Arabidopsis thaliana: one gene and its partners. The protein of the gene in region 2 interacts with the protein of the main gene of each other region in a pairwise test. Each region holds a gene or a part of one and is shown on either strand. Other genes may lie near its edges.

Region 1 (3,869 bases), on a different chromosome or scaffold from region 2:
TGGTTCACATAATGAAAAAAACATACTTGAAAACTAGTCATTGGCGTTCGGTATTTTGGTTCAGTTCCGGTTCGAGAACTTCCCATGAGCCCTTTTGTAGTCTAAAAATCTATAATCTTAAATTGTGTTTTATTAATATTATTATGTTTTTATGTAATATTAATAACCTTTACCCTAGAAAAACTAATATTATTTTCTCAGTTTTATTATATTAAATTGTGTTTTTCAATTTCATATGTTATCAGACTTATATTATTATGTAATATTTTTTTACAATTGGTTGAATTGTTTAGGTTAGATATTAATTTCTGTTTTTAATATAACAAAATTATTACATAATAATTCTTGCAGTTTAGCTAAAACATCTAATAAGCTGAAGAGACAGAGTCATTTACAATTCATCAAAAAGAAAAATTGTTTTTGAAATCTTTTGATCGACAAGGCCTATCTATAGAATTGTGGATGTGTTTTGGGAAGGCATTATAGAAAATTTGTCTCATGTGGTGGTAAATGTTTTGCTGAATAAGTAAATAATAACCTTGGTTAAACTTTAAACAAAAAAAAAAGTTAATAAATAACCTTGGCTAAACAAATGTGTATAAGTTTCTGAAATTTAAAATATTATGTTCGTGATCAAGAACAGAAAACTGATGATCTTATAGGACATAACTACTTAATACATTATACATCTATAGATTGTGTATGTGTCCGTATTATACATAAAATCTCATGTATCTTTACATCAAACTTCAAATCTAAATACAAAAACAAAAAGAACATCACTAGAGATGGATCTCTCGTCGGACAAAACCCCGAAGTTTCGTCTTTCACGGTCAACTTTAGTCAAACTCCGATCCGAATCAAACCAAAAAGGGTTTTTCATTCATCGATCATAGTCATCATCTCCTTTTTAGACAAAAGATTCTCAGCTTCTCTGGATCATAAGGAAGAGTCTAGAGCAGGAGCGTCGGATCCCTTCATGATTCTGAGTCTCTTACAAGAAGAAGAGAACATGTCCCATGGAACATCACCAACCAACATCCAGTCACCATCTTTATCTTCGTATGTTGGTACAAATCCAGATCCTTTGTATCCTTCTCTCTCACAATATTCACCAATCATGACTTTGAACATATTCTCTAACGCTTTGAGAAGCTCGGGGTAGTTTTTGTATGTCTTGAGATCGATCTTGCGAAGGTAAGGAGCTCCGTCCATACTCACTTTCACGTAGCTCACACTGTTGTTGTTCTTACGGGAAGATCTCACTGGTGGCCAACCAACGATTTGAGTTCTGTAAATTTGAGGAAAGAAAGATTAGTAAAACTATTCAAGAGCCAATAATTTGAAAGAAGCCAATTTGAAACTCAGATCTCTTCTACTTACTTGGTAGGAGGTGTAGATTCTTCTTCATCACGAGTTTCCTCAAATAGACGCTTGTTGTTACTTTTAACGCAAGAAACCTCTTGTTCTTCTTTGATCTTCTCTGTTCTTCCGGGTAATCCAAGACATAGCTCTGTGTCCTTAAGGTTAAGCTCGTTGACTTTCTCGTACGCCATTGCTTTTGGATCAATATCAATCTTTGTGTTTCCTTCTTGTGTGTTTTCTTGGGTACTTTGTTCTTCTTGTCTTGTTCTTCTTCTTCTTGTTCTTGTTCTTGGTGAGCTGGTTGATGAGTTTTGGAGAAAAGGGGAGAGAGATATATATAAAGGAGCATCGAAGTTAGGGTTAAAGGAAGAGAGAGAAGTGTTGTCGGAAGCATGAAAGGCAAGAAAGAGGCAAGGGGACAAAAGTGGGACACGAAGCTTGAGGCCGCCCATGTGGACACGACTCTTTTGTTTAATTATTCCACGCTCCTCTTTTCCCTCCGCCAACTTTGTTTACGTTAACATCTTAGCCGTCCATCTCTATTGCCTCTTCTTTTTCTTTCAAAGGATGTATAATAATTATAACGAAAGAATATAAAAATGAATGAAATGATGAGAATTCTATCGGCCGACCCGGAATAAAAGCAAACAGAGAAAATATAAATAAAGTAAAGACTAAAGAGGTGTATTATAATAACATTTATTTACTGTTTCTTAAAGGTTTCTTCTTCTCTTTTTGAAAGTGTATAGTGCAGGTTATAAAGAAAATATCAAGTGCTAATGATTGTTAATCCATTTGTTGCATAATAGATATTCTTAATATATATTTAAATATAATGTGTTGTCTTAAAATTTGATGTGAAAGTTGATTATTATTTTTAGTTTACTTCTATTGATTTATTAATTTTTAACTTAAAAGATTAATAGATGTTTTGAAAGTATGATGTAAAAATTTCGATTCAGAAGAAAAAACGTATGGTGTAAAAAATGGTTAAAAGGACACTTATGTCAAATAAAGTACTATTTTATTGAATCCTGATTCCAAAATGAAGATTATTTAGAGTTTCCAAGTACTCTTATGTGTTACGAACTATTGAATGTGCATAAGTTGAATTTTATCATTTTTGCTCGTAGATGTAATTTGATTAATAAAGAAATATTAGTTTTATGGTTAAATCTCAGATAATATCGAATATTAAACGTTACATATTTGTCTTGCGAAGACATATTTATGCGTGGCATTTTGTATATTGTGAGTTGGAAAATGTTATAACATTTTGTGTGTAGATTTTGATTTTATAATAGGAGACGAAGACCCATGTGGATAAGGGTCAAATGTGTTGGTAATTGATAGAGGAATGGTAAAGCCATGTGCTTTCTTATGTGTATGTCTCTTTTAATTATTCATTTCCCTTCAAAATGGGTTGTGGGGGAGAGAGGTTCCACGTGCTATGTATTCATTGAATCATAAAACTTAAAAGAATGAACCAAAAAGTGGTAATTAATTTCTCCCCATAGATTACGCTTAACTATGTGCATTTAGCTTCTAATCCGCATGCGATTTGATGTTAACGTTAGGCTTTATTCAATGGATTTACCAATTTTGGATATTATTTGTTTTCTCTTCTTTTAAGATAAAGATTCCTTCTATGTTCTTGCCCCTTCCATCACCAAAAGATTAGATAAGTAAAAGCGATGCAAGATACGTTGCCTCTCTTCTTATAAGTAAATAATTTAGAGGTTCTGATTGTCAGAGTTTTATGTATTATTTCCAGTTAATAACGAACTCATGCAATGTATTTTCTCACAAACTGAGAGATGCACGAATGAATACCATTTGTCTGTTAAATATTGCACGAATGAATACTAAAGGTTAACCATTTACAGATTTCTAGAATCACTTAACATGGTGGGAAACAAACTTCTTGAGAATAGTTTTTTCCTGTTTGTGTGTTCATGCATGTTTTAGTCTTAGTGAAAATGTATTATAGAAACATAACTACTAGATCTATGTGATGCTTTATGCTTATATAGATGATTGCTAAAGTTATTTGTTGGTTAAACTAAACCTTTTTACTGAAAACCATTTAAGAAAGTACAAGAGAATTCAGTTACTGTTTATTATGGAGTTAATTCCATGAATATATATTGAACATTAAGTTTTGCCTAAAAAACAATATTGAACTTAAGCCAAATACATAAATCATTTTTAGATTATTTTGGTCTCTGTGGTCAATTTAATGTATTAATTTATGTACTGAATCAACAGTTGTTTGTTCTTTTATGTTAATATTTGATATTTTTTACTCTACAAGGACTACAGATTCTGATGACAATTTTAACGTACATATCTTGAAGAGGTACGTGAATAACTATATGAACTAGCTAATAGATTCTTAATTTTTTTTGGTTAGAAATATTAACCGTGTTTTAATTATCATGGTAAAAATGTTAATTATTTTCTACTTTAATTTCTCGTTTATTCAAAAAAAAAAAGTATGTCAT
Region 2 (7,377 bases):
TTAGAGCAATCCAAGAGAGAATCAGAGATAAGTACAGTTCCTTATCAGGTGAGCTTTTCACTGTGAATGTTCGGTCTGTAGATGGGTTTCAAGGTGGTGAAGAAGACATTATCATCATCTCTACCGTTAGAAGTAATAGTAACGGGAAGGTTGGATTTCTCAGTAACCGTCAAAGAGCCAATGTGGCACTCACTCGAGCTAGGCACTGTTTATGGGTGATTGGAAATGAGTCAACACTGGCTCGGAGTGGTTCGATTTGGGCAAACCTTATAAGTGACTCGAAGAGACGTAAATGCTTCTATGATGCTAAAGATGATAAGAGATTGAGAGATGCCATGAATGCTGTCCAAGGTTGATAAGTCTGATGTGTGTGCACGTTTAAGTACTCTTTGGGTCAAAAAGAAAGGGAGAAAATGAGTTGTTGGTACTTCATCTATGTCATTCTTCAACCTAAGTTACTAGTAGAAGCTTTTGGTAACATTTTGTGATTAATGGTTGTGTTTTAAAGATTTGGTTGGTTTTGGTTTCACACCTTATGGAATCTAATTGGTCTGACCAAACTGAATGTCTAACAATGTTGTTACAAAAATAGAATAAGAATAAATACTAGAAAAGTTTAGTTACCCTGAGACAGCTACATAAAGGTTCTTATGTTTATGACGAGAGTGTCTGTCTAATACAAGCTAAAGTACGTCCTAAAGTTTCAGGACCCATACTCACAAATATGATTATGTTTCTTTCTAAAAACGTCAAAACGAGAGAGATGCGAACGAATGGCATATAAAGATGAGTGGAAACGACTTCAAATGGGAAACAAAGGGCTCCCGCGTTGTAGCATGATGAGACTAACACCGAAGCAGCTTCTAGAGATGGGTCGGGTTTTGCGGGAATAACCCACCACTGCCTTCTCCATGATCTCCCATTTGATGCACATCTTCTGGTGATAGTATCTTTATGTACCAAACGTTATTCACAAATGACCTGCAGAACAAGCTTTTAAAGATCTATCTCAAATCTAAAGCAATGTATACAAATAGAAGAAGAGTACTTTACTTACTCCCATGGGTCATCACCAAGGAGAAGAATATCATTTTCCTTGTCAACGAATACAAGCTGCCAGCCTGATCTAAGGGGGTCTTCCAACAACCCTTCGATAGCAAACATCTTCCCTAACTCTTCTCGCAGCTCGTGGTAGCTGCTGAATCGGGAGATGTCTAATGAACGCCCAACCGAACCAGATTTATAAACCTGCAGTTTTGGATTTGTAAGCATATCAGTATTTTCTTAGAGACAGTAGAGCCACAGAGAAGTCGGTGAGCCTAGAACAAACCAGCACCTTTACAAAGTTCTTGGTTTGGTTGGACGAGTTAATCTGTCCAGCTCCATGCAATAACTCATGAGTTGTGTCTTGCATGCAGCTATATAAGGAATTCTGAAATCCTGAATCTGTTAGTGACATAGGGGAAGCTTCAGCATCTCCTGATGAAGAAGCAAAGCGGGGAACCGTACTGGGGAGGAAGAGTCCAGAGTCGGGATCAACACCGAAAAGAGAGGGATTCTGCGGATTTCCGGGTTCTAGAGCAAGACTCTTCCCAGGATAGGCTTGTGGAAGTGACAACGGTTCAGAAAAAGTGTTGGATGCTTTTGGAGACCAGCCCTCTGTTGTTAACTGCTCAGGGAGTACAGACTGACCGGTTATAGAAAAATTCAAAAGATTGCCATCTCCAGAAGCCGGACTAGCAGTTGTTGCAAATTTGTTGCTTGAGTCAGTAAAATCTGACTTCATGAACGAGGGAGATGGCATCTCTGATTGCTGCTGCCACTGTTGAAGATGGCCATTTTGCATTTTGAAAGCATTAAGATATGCATTTTGGTCCGGTTGCTGTAGCTGTTGCTGCTGTCCAGCTGGTTGGTTACTAACTTCTTGTCGCATATTCTGCTGCGGAAGATTCTCACTCATAATCTGTGTTTGAGCATGCATGAGATGGCGTGACGCTTGTTGCTGCTGTTGCTGCTGAAGCATCAAATCAGAATTATGGGAAGCTGATTGTTGAAGATATTGGTGGTGAGGCTCTTGCAGCTGTACAAACTGCTGTCTTAAAGGATCTCCACCGCCGATGTTCTGCAACCCAGCAGCTAACATTGCTTGGTATTGCTGATTATTATCAGTCCCCATTTGACTGAGATCCAGCCTTTGTTGCATCCATGGAAACAAACCAACAGATGGATAATTTAGAGGAAGCAAACCTTGCTGCTCTCCACCTCCCCCTCTTAGCCATGTTAGACCACTTCCCAAATCACCCCTTCCATCTGTAACATCATAATGTTTTGAGTAAATAGCTATGGAGAGTACCTACACACTTCTTTGTAAATAAATTATAACAGTAAGACCCTCTTCAGAGCTCTACTCAATCGAACATTTGTTATTTATCCGAAGTAGCAACTAAGTTACAATAGCAGAAACACTGAGTGACAGTAAGAGACTTCACGAACGTACTATACTAGTTAATAACAGTTAGGAGAAGAGCCAAAAGGTGGATACCAGGCAAAGATGATGTGCCAGCATGCCATGGACGTTTTAGTCTGAGAGGAAAAAGAGATGGATACATAGGAAAGGTAGTCAGAGGCTCAATCTCCCATAAAGAAACCCTTGGCTGTCTCTCCCCTGCAGTCGATTCATCCCAACCAACCTACACCAATAATGCCACAGTTCATCAATGTTGATGGAATTTCAGAGTAATATTGGACTAAATCATCAGAAAGCTGTGTGACGTTCCATGGAATTTAAATAAGGTAACAGGCTTAATAGTGTTGTTACCTTCACAGATCGCCAATGAGAGTTTGGCCAACGAACAGAATCTAGATCACTAATACCAGTTATAGTACCCATGTACCTGGAAAGTTCCCCATGCCACTGTCAGAAAACATGTTAAAGTAATATGTGTAACATAATGATATAGTTTTCTCAGTTTCAAGATTGCATTTCCAGATATGTGGCATCATCACCTGCGGACACTCGACTCTTCTGTCTCGAAGAGCATGCGAAAGCGCATCCCAACTGAAATACGCGTGTGAAAAACGGCTTTAATGTACTTGGAAAGTTGTATCACAAACTCAGATTGGCTAGCCCTGAACATGAAGAGAATATTAGTAGGATATATTATCGGATATACCGAGAGATGAAAAAGATGCAGGTGGGAGAGATTTTTCAACCTTGGATGAAAGAAAACAGTGAAACAGCTATTAGTTGCAGAAGCATGTGCAGCAGCAGCAAGGAGTCCAATATGCATGCTATCACTAGATAAAACAGATGATGGTACAATAGTCTGCGGCCGAGTGGCATGACGAATTCCCAAAAAGAGTTGATTCTTTTCATTCCTGGAAACAAGTAATAGTGTTACAAATATAATCACAATCCACAAACTGAACGTACAACAAAAGAACTAAACCTGATGAAAATGACAGAATCTCCAGCTACTAGTCGCTTGGCACTGACAAAGACACTCCATCCAGTAGTTAGGAGATGCCGTTTGGGCTGTCCTGCATAATCACACCAAAACCATGTAAGTTATTCCTAACAAACCAAGAAGAAGGATTCAAATCAACTTAACTTCATATGAACAAGTAAATAATTCCACGTTATAATAGACAACGACAAGAACACAGAGCCTCCGTGGTTTCTTCAACTAAACCACACATGAGTAGTGAAAATAACAGCAGATGCTGCTTCAGACATACTTAACAGCCAATTGAAATTTTTACACTGGCGACTACAGTTAAAAAGGGATCATCAACGCACACCGAGGAAAGGTGAAACCTACCCCGAAAGATATGCCTAAACTTCCATTCAACATCATGGAGATCCCTTGCAATCAGTTCTTGAGCTGGTGGCTGCAGTGTGTAATCCTGCAACAGGGAAGACACAAGATATTAAAAGGAATACATATATTTTCTCAACAACAATTTATAGCAAAGTAAGTAAAAGAAAAAGTATAATACCAATGGAGGAAACACTTTCTCAGCAGCACGTCTAGGAACAGAAAACCCTCCATGTGTACTGGTATCACTAGCTGTGAGAGTCTTACAAAAATAATTACTAGGTTGCTTACTCGGTATCCCCAACTCAATCGGTACAAATGTTTCCTTCTGCTCCTCCTATAAACAACACCAATCCTAAAGCTTAAGTTATTAATTCACAGACTCAAAAACCTGTTATGTATAATGTATCTACCGGTGTCAATGGTTGAAGTGTCATTTGAGCATAGACTTCATCCGTCTCAACATCTGCCTGAAATAGTAGAAACGAAACCCATACTTACAAAGCACATCATCCCAAAACTAGTTTACAAAAGTAAAAATTGAATATGGAAAGGGACAGGGAACTAACTACGCACATGCATTGTAACATTATGGAGCTGGCATATCAATTGTGGTGGTAGGCTTGGGTAATTGGGTATGTGACCATCAACTTCCTTATTAGTTGTAGCAGCTACCTACAAGTACACTTCTATTTAAATGGAAATGCCCAAATATAACACAAGTCTAAAAATAAAGCTCCATACTTTTAAACAACAACCCAAACCTGTTCACTGTGACCCTGTGGAAAGTAAACAACTCGACTACCAGATGATGGAAGAGAGACTAATGGTCCAGCACAAGCATGCCATAGCTCAGAATTCAGACACTTCTCTCCTGTTAGAACAAACACAGACACAAGAACTAAGAAAACACTTGTCCAGAAACAGAACTAAGAAAATCAGAGAGTAAACAAGTCACCTTCATGACCCTGTTGACCCAATCCAGATGTTGACAGCTTCATGTCTAATTCAACTTCAAGAAACCAAACTTTGAAAACCCTAATTTTTCCGTACAATCTATTAAAAAATCTTCTTCACTTCCAGCTACTACAGTAGCTATAACTCTTTAGCTCCGGAAGTACAAACTCGTCTTTCTCCATCTCCTTTGTTCAAACCCCCAAAAATCTCACTCACAACCATAAGACTCAGTGAAAGCTTCGAATCAAAAAACCATCCATAAAACCCTTAAACACAAGAAACAGAACAAACCCCATTTCTTCAAAACCAGAATCTGTTTCTTCTCATCATCAAACCATGAACAACAACACAAGCTCTCTACTACAAGTACGCATTGAAGCAACCCCAACAGAAAAAAAAAAACTCTTGTCTTTGAGATCTTTGTGGATGAAAAAATGAAAGAAACAAGACAAAAGAACAAATCTTTCTTCTTCAACAACTTGACTTCTCTCGTGGGTAAAAAATTAAATCTCTTGAAGCAGTTCCATCACTGTCCAAGAGAGACACTTTGGCTTTCAAAAACAGAAGAGAGAGAGAGAAAGAAATGGTTAGTGAGAGAAAAAGATATGTGTCAGAGAGAGAAAAGAAGAGTGCGTGGGGGTGAAAGAGAGAGAGAAAAGAAGAAGAAAGTGAGTAAGTGGTTTTCCTCCTCTTATAAGAGACCCGACCCGACTCCACCCGACCCGGATTTGACCCGGATCCGATACAGTGGAGAGAAGGAAGAAGAAGAGAGGTCCTACTAACGAGAATTATGAGAGGTGGTGTCAGTACCAGAGTCACTTCTTTTTGACCGTTGGATTTGACTCTTGAGATCTTGATCGTTGAAAAATAATAATTGTTTTTTTTGAGGTCTTGGATTCGATGAAAAGGACAATGAATTATAGTATTTGAAGTGAGAGAGTGAGAGAGAGATAATAGAGTTGTCATAAATGTTAGCGTTGTTTATTTTAAATACTTTTTATTTTTGCTCCATTCATTGATGAAAGAAACACCAAATACTCCCATAATTTGATTTATTTAAAGATAATTTATAGTAGTATTTAATTTAATAACTCAAAAAATATTTTGTTGGATCTTTTATGAGTTCGTTGAAAAAATGGTCAAAGGTTTATCTATTGATAAGTGATGTATTATTAGATTCGCAAATCTAAGTTCTAATTTAGAAACAATCATTAGCAAATAGATGCCCGATAATCCAACATCTTATGGATACCACTATTTTACTTACCAAAAGAGAAAACTAATACACATGGATCTTGTTTGAATAATTTTTAAAAAATTTGGGATATGGAGTGTATCACTTGGAGAAGCTGGATTTGGAATAATCTTTGCAAGTTAAGACCCTTAACTAGGTTTTTCATCGTTTGTGAAATTGGTTCAGAAATAACTTGTAATTTCTGGACTGATAATTGGATTTTTTTGGGACCATATTTGTCGAGCTAACCTGAAGATTTATGACTAAGAATTTCTCTTCTCCCTCGTTCTGTTGTGGTTGCGGATGCATTGAGAAAGAGACAATAGTGGCTTACAAATTCTCGAAGTCGCAGTCCCATTATTCAGTTGCTTAAAGAATGTCTTCCTTCCTATTCTACTGTTAACTTACAAGAGGATGTAGAGGATGATGTTTACCTTTGGAAGGTGATGATATCCATGCATCAAATATTTTCTCTGCTGCTAAAACTTAGGCACATTAATATTCAAAAAAAAACTTATGCACATCTTCATCCTCCTGACACAAAGATGGATCGGTTTGAATCTGTGTGATTTCCAGGAAGGATTCTTAAGCATGCTTTCATTGCTTGGCTAAAGTCTCATCATAGACTTCTCACTAGAGACAAAATGATTCGATGGGGCATGACTACTCCTTCGTCGTGTCTTCTCTGTAATTTGATGGATGAATCTCGCTAACATTTATTCTTCGACTGCTCTTATGTTGCAAAGGTATGACACTATTTCTATGATAAAGCCCATCTTTCTCCTCTAAATCAATTTGAGGATGAAGTTAGATGGTTGAAGAATCCTTGTCGTGACAAGAAAACTACTTTGATTCTTCGAATTGCCTATCAAGCCTCACTGTACTCCATATGGAAAAAAGCGCAATGCAAGATTGCATAATTCATCCTCAAAGCCAGCCTCAGTTCTCATTATTTATCATTAACATTCTTCAATGTCATCTAGACCCTTGTTGGATAGCTCAACGGATCATTCATCTGGTTTGGTGTCTTTCAATAAATTTATTGTAATACTTTTGTTATCTCATTTATTTCGATTGTAGGTTCAATTTTCCTTGGTGTAACTTTTCCACTTCTATTATATGAAAGATATGTTTTTTGAATAAAAAAAACTGCTAAATGGAAGTTTCCTTCGTTCTATCGATGGTAATATCGTGCGATACGTCGCAATCATTTATATAACTCAACGATTGATTTTTTAAAACAACATGATGTCAAATTATATGGGCTCATCATCATGGGCACAAAACAAATACTATTACATGAAATTAAATTTAAAATTAAGATTACTATAATTTCAATATATTTTAAATTTATCAATTAATTATTTT
Region 3 (3,648 bases), on a different chromosome or scaffold from region 2:
AACCCAAGAGGAAGAGAAGGCCTAAGAAGAAGAAGCTACAGGTGAGTTTTCTCTCGACTCTTTCCTGGAATTCTGTTTCGTACTTTTGTTGAAAGTCTTATTGGTACATTTGCATCAATCTTTCAAACTCTATAACTAAAGAATCTGCATTTTACAAGCTGATTATATATTATTCGTTTTGCTGTTTCAGGCGTGAACAAGGTCTCTCCCGCCATGTCTGAGAAAACGAAGAAGCTCGTAACACAGTTCATCAATTCCAAAAGCTTCACTCATTACTACGGCCTGTCTAGTCTTACATCTTCTGATTGGATCTAATGCGTATATATATGTTGCCATGAAAGCAGAGAGGTAGGTGTCTGTTGTTTTTGGCTGATGAAATGAACCCTAAGCTTTGGGCAAAACGTATTTCTCATATAAGATAAGTTTTTTTTTTGTTTCTATTGATTTATGTTCATGTTGGCTTTGATCGAATTGTATTAATTAATGGGAGTAATCCAACCTCGACCATCAATAATATGATCTAAGAACTAGTGAACCAAAATAGAAAATGGGTATTGCTTGAAAATCTCTTTGATCAATGAGAACGCAAAACAGAATTGCTACAAATATAAAAACAACTCTTCAATCTTCATAACACTTTAATTAATGTAATACACATAACCAAAGATTTAAGGACAACCTTTTGCCCTGTTTCTGAAACAAAATGTAATTAGGTTCCAGTTTCATATGCTTAAGACCATTAAGCATGTTTACATTTGAATTTTACCGATGAGGTAAATAAAGGCTATGAATTGGATTCAATCCAATGAACATAGATCTTGCCCGAGAAACCCGACAACCCAAGCACAGACAGAGATTTCTCTGAACCAAAAGAAACTCTATTTTTCTTCAAGTTCTTTTGTGTCTCTGTTAGATTTCTTGAAGATATATCTCATACACCACAGCCTAAACCTTTGGCTTCTGATCCTTTCATGATCCTTAGTCTCTTGCACGTACATATGAACATCCTGCAACAACAAACAGAACCCATAAGAACACTTACAAAATTGTTGTTTCTGATTTTTGATTTTGTGGAAATTGTTTTCAGACAGGTATATGAAAGAAGACTTACTCCCATGGAACATCACCAATGAGCATCCAATCACCATCTTTGTCTTCATAAGTAGGCACAAAGTCTGAACCTTTATATCCATCTCTCTCAAAGTACTCTCCCACAGAGAATTTGAACATCACTTCTAAAGCTTTAAGCAACTCTGAGTATCCTTTGTAACAACTCAGATCTATTTTCCTCAAGTATGGTGCACCATCCATACTTACTTTCACATAGATTCCTTGACCCTCATGCTCAGATTCATTCTTCTTACTCTGAATGTTGTTCTTCCTGTAAGATCTAACTGGTGGCCATCCAACAATCTGAGCCCTGCAAAAAGGAAGAAACACGGTCAATCAACTGAATTCTCCACCACTACAGATTCAGAGACTTTTGTGTGAGTTTAACTTACTTTCGAGGAGGGGATGTTTCAGTTTTCCTTGATGATGATTCAATCTCCTTCTCAGTATCAGTTGATAGTACTCTCTTATTGTTGTTATTACAGCAAGAAACTCTCTCTTTTGCTTCACATACATTATCTGTTCCCGGTAATCCCAGCCTCAGCTCTGTTTCCTTGAGGTTAACAAACTCATCCATTTCTTCAAGAATTGCAGGAGAAGATAAAAAGAAAAGCTTTTGGTTATTATCCTTGAAAGAGAGGAGAGATATAGAGAAGCTGCTGATGATGAAGATGAGAGGCTTCGAGGAAGCTGAGTGTTTTATACAAGTTAAAGGAGAATAAAGATAGATACTGGTAGAGAGAGAAGAAACTGTTTTCTGAATTAAGGACAAAGGAAAAAAAGCTAAGCTTGTCGGTAGCAGTAACAGCAACTTTGAGGCAAAAGTGTGTCCCATCTTCTTGGGGACATTTGTGGGGACACTTTCTTTTTCTCCCATCTGTCCAAACCCAAAAACAAAATATTTTCATCTTTCTTTCTTGTGATAGACGGTCCAGATCAAATCTTCGAATCCCCCACCACATGTGGTATGCCATATGGGCATATCACCTCTCTCTATCTCCCATTAATAACTTATCACAACCAAGAAATTTCGGATCGTAAGCTCATAATCTTTTCTTACCAAGAACAACAACCGAATACATATTTTACTCGTTTTCTCAATAGATGGATGGTTAATTAACTCTATATGTAAAGGTAGCTAGTGTTCAATGTTTGGATTGTGGGTAGTTCAGATTTGATGAGTTTATTGACTTGAGATCATAAGTAATAATTTATGTCTCACATCTTCAAAAAACAGGTACTTTGGGTGTTGAAGAGCCAAAAACAGAGCCTACGTGACAAAATTACTTATTGTTCTTTACTGGGGTTTGTTAAAGCCCACAACTTTTGTCTCTCTGTCTCTAACCTATTAATCATGATCACCACACACACACACACACGTATATATGAATTTGAAATAAAACTGAGCATCACGACAGGACATCTTCCTTAAGGATCAACTAGCACAAGGCTTTAGTTAAATGTCAGTAACATCATAATGGGGTCTTGTAGTTTTGTTTTGGAACCTGAGAGATCTTTAACAGATTCTCGCTGTCTTTGTTTATGTTACAGCGTGGCATTGGTTGTATTCTACTTATATGGAGCTCCTATTGTAGATGTTTACGTCTTTGACATAACCTACTCGAATTGAACCGGATCTAAGTTTTGGCTCCATTTTTTGGTTTTCTCATGCATGGCTTTCGAAATCGAAGTCCGAATCGGTACTATGCAAAGAGTTGTTAAGAACTTATGTTATAACTTTACATTATACGTGTAACAATAATCCTAAAAGAATTTTTTTTTTTTTTTTATCTACATATATACGTACGTAGTGACTTTCAACAAGTACTAACGATTAACGAACATATTTCAACAAAATAAATTCATACAATTAGAGGTGACTGCTAACAGCTACTCAGTACTCATCACGCATTGATTTCTTCTGTACGGTGAGAAACATTCTCTTCTTGGTTCAGTCATAAATTACTAGATTCGTTTTCTTGACAGAACAGGTCATAAGTTTGAATTGAATTAATTGTATTTATACCAAGAAAAACTGATGGGAATATATATATATTTATATCATTATTTGTGAATTGGTCACAATATATAGAAGCATTTGATGACTAATATATGTAATATAAAGTTTGCACACACAAACAAATATAAAGTTTTTCCTAAAAAATTTATTTATAATCCGTCAGTGGAACGTAAGATAAAAAATAAATATAAATTAAATGTTTTGTATTCCCATATATATCTTATCCATAAGGAGTTAAAGACTTTTATTAGGCATGAATATCCGCAGGCTTTTCTCATTCACTATAGTATTATGGCATCATCTTTTATTTTTCTGCACTCATTATATGTCATACTGTAGCATACTTTGCAATTTAATTATATATATAAACGAATTTAGTAACTTATACTGAAAATAAAATGACAATGTCTTAGCTACAACAACTAATCACACAAAAATGATTTGTTTTGGTTTTTTAAAGGATAAATTAGACCATTAAGTAACAATCACGAATTTACTATAGTAGCAGTTAACGCAAA

Evidence for each region. The genes of interacting proteins can lie anywhere in the genome.
Region 1: the proteins of ARF8 (region 2) and IAA2 interact in binary tests that used the Arabidopsis thaliana proteins (3 or more experiments, as listed by UniProt).
Region 3: the proteins of ARF8 (region 2) and SHY2 interact in a two-hybrid assay, tested with the Arabidopsis thaliana proteins (2 studies listed by BioGRID).

The regions. Positions count from the first base shown.
Region 1 is NC_003074.8:8,180,130-8,183,998, forward strand, and holds IAA2 (indole-3-acetic acid inducible 2), read right to left. Parts: upstream 1,967-3,869; 5' UTR 1,818-1,966; coding exon 1,384-1,817; intron 1,292-1,383; coding exon 940-1,291; 3' UTR 517-939; downstream 1-516. UniProt on the Arabidopsis thaliana protein: Aux/IAA proteins are short-lived transcriptional factors that function as repressors of early auxin response genes at low auxin concentrations.
Region 2 is NC_003076.8:14,627,593-14,634,969, reverse strand, and holds ARF8 (auxin response factor 8), read right to left. Parts: upstream 5,518-7,377; 5' UTR 4,820-5,517; coding exon 4,777-4,819; intron 4,693-4,776; coding exon 4,583-4,692; intron 4,494-4,582; coding exon 4,395-4,493; exon of another isoform or gene 4,289-4,394; coding exon 4,232-4,288; intron 4,156-4,231; coding exon 4,000-4,155; intron 3,907-3,999; coding exon 3,822-3,906; intron 3,541-3,821; coding exon 3,450-3,540; intron 3,379-3,449; coding exon 3,214-3,378; intron 3,130-3,213; coding exon 3,007-3,129; intron 2,895-3,006; coding exon 2,819-2,894; intron 2,691-2,818; coding exon 2,543-2,690; intron 2,311-2,542; coding exon 1,337-2,310; intron 1,249-1,336; coding exon 1,058-1,248; coding exon of another isoform or gene 1,054-1,057; intron 982-1,053; coding exon 864-981; 3' UTR 516-863; downstream 1-515. Other genes in the region: AT5G37030 (P-loop containing nucleoside triphosphate hydrolases superfamily protein), read left to right, coding at 1-356. UniProt on the Arabidopsis thaliana protein: Auxin response factors (ARFs) are transcriptional factors that bind specifically to the DNA sequence 5'-TGTCTC-3' found in the auxin-responsive promoter elements (AuxREs). Seems to act as transcriptional activator.
Region 3 is NC_003070.9:1,127,633-1,131,280, forward strand, and holds SHY2 (AUX/IAA transcriptional regulator family protein), read right to left. Parts: upstream 2,058-3,648; 5' UTR 1,988-2,057; coding exon 1,503-1,987; intron 1,421-1,502; coding exon 1,112-1,420; exon of another isoform or gene 1,008-1,111; coding exon 932-1,007; 3' UTR 517-931; downstream 1-516. Other genes in the region: AT1G04230 (rRNA-processing EFG1-like protein (DUF2361)), read left to right, coding at 1-41, 191-196. UniProt on the Arabidopsis thaliana protein: Aux/IAA proteins are short-lived transcriptional factors that function as repressors of early auxin response genes at low auxin concentrations.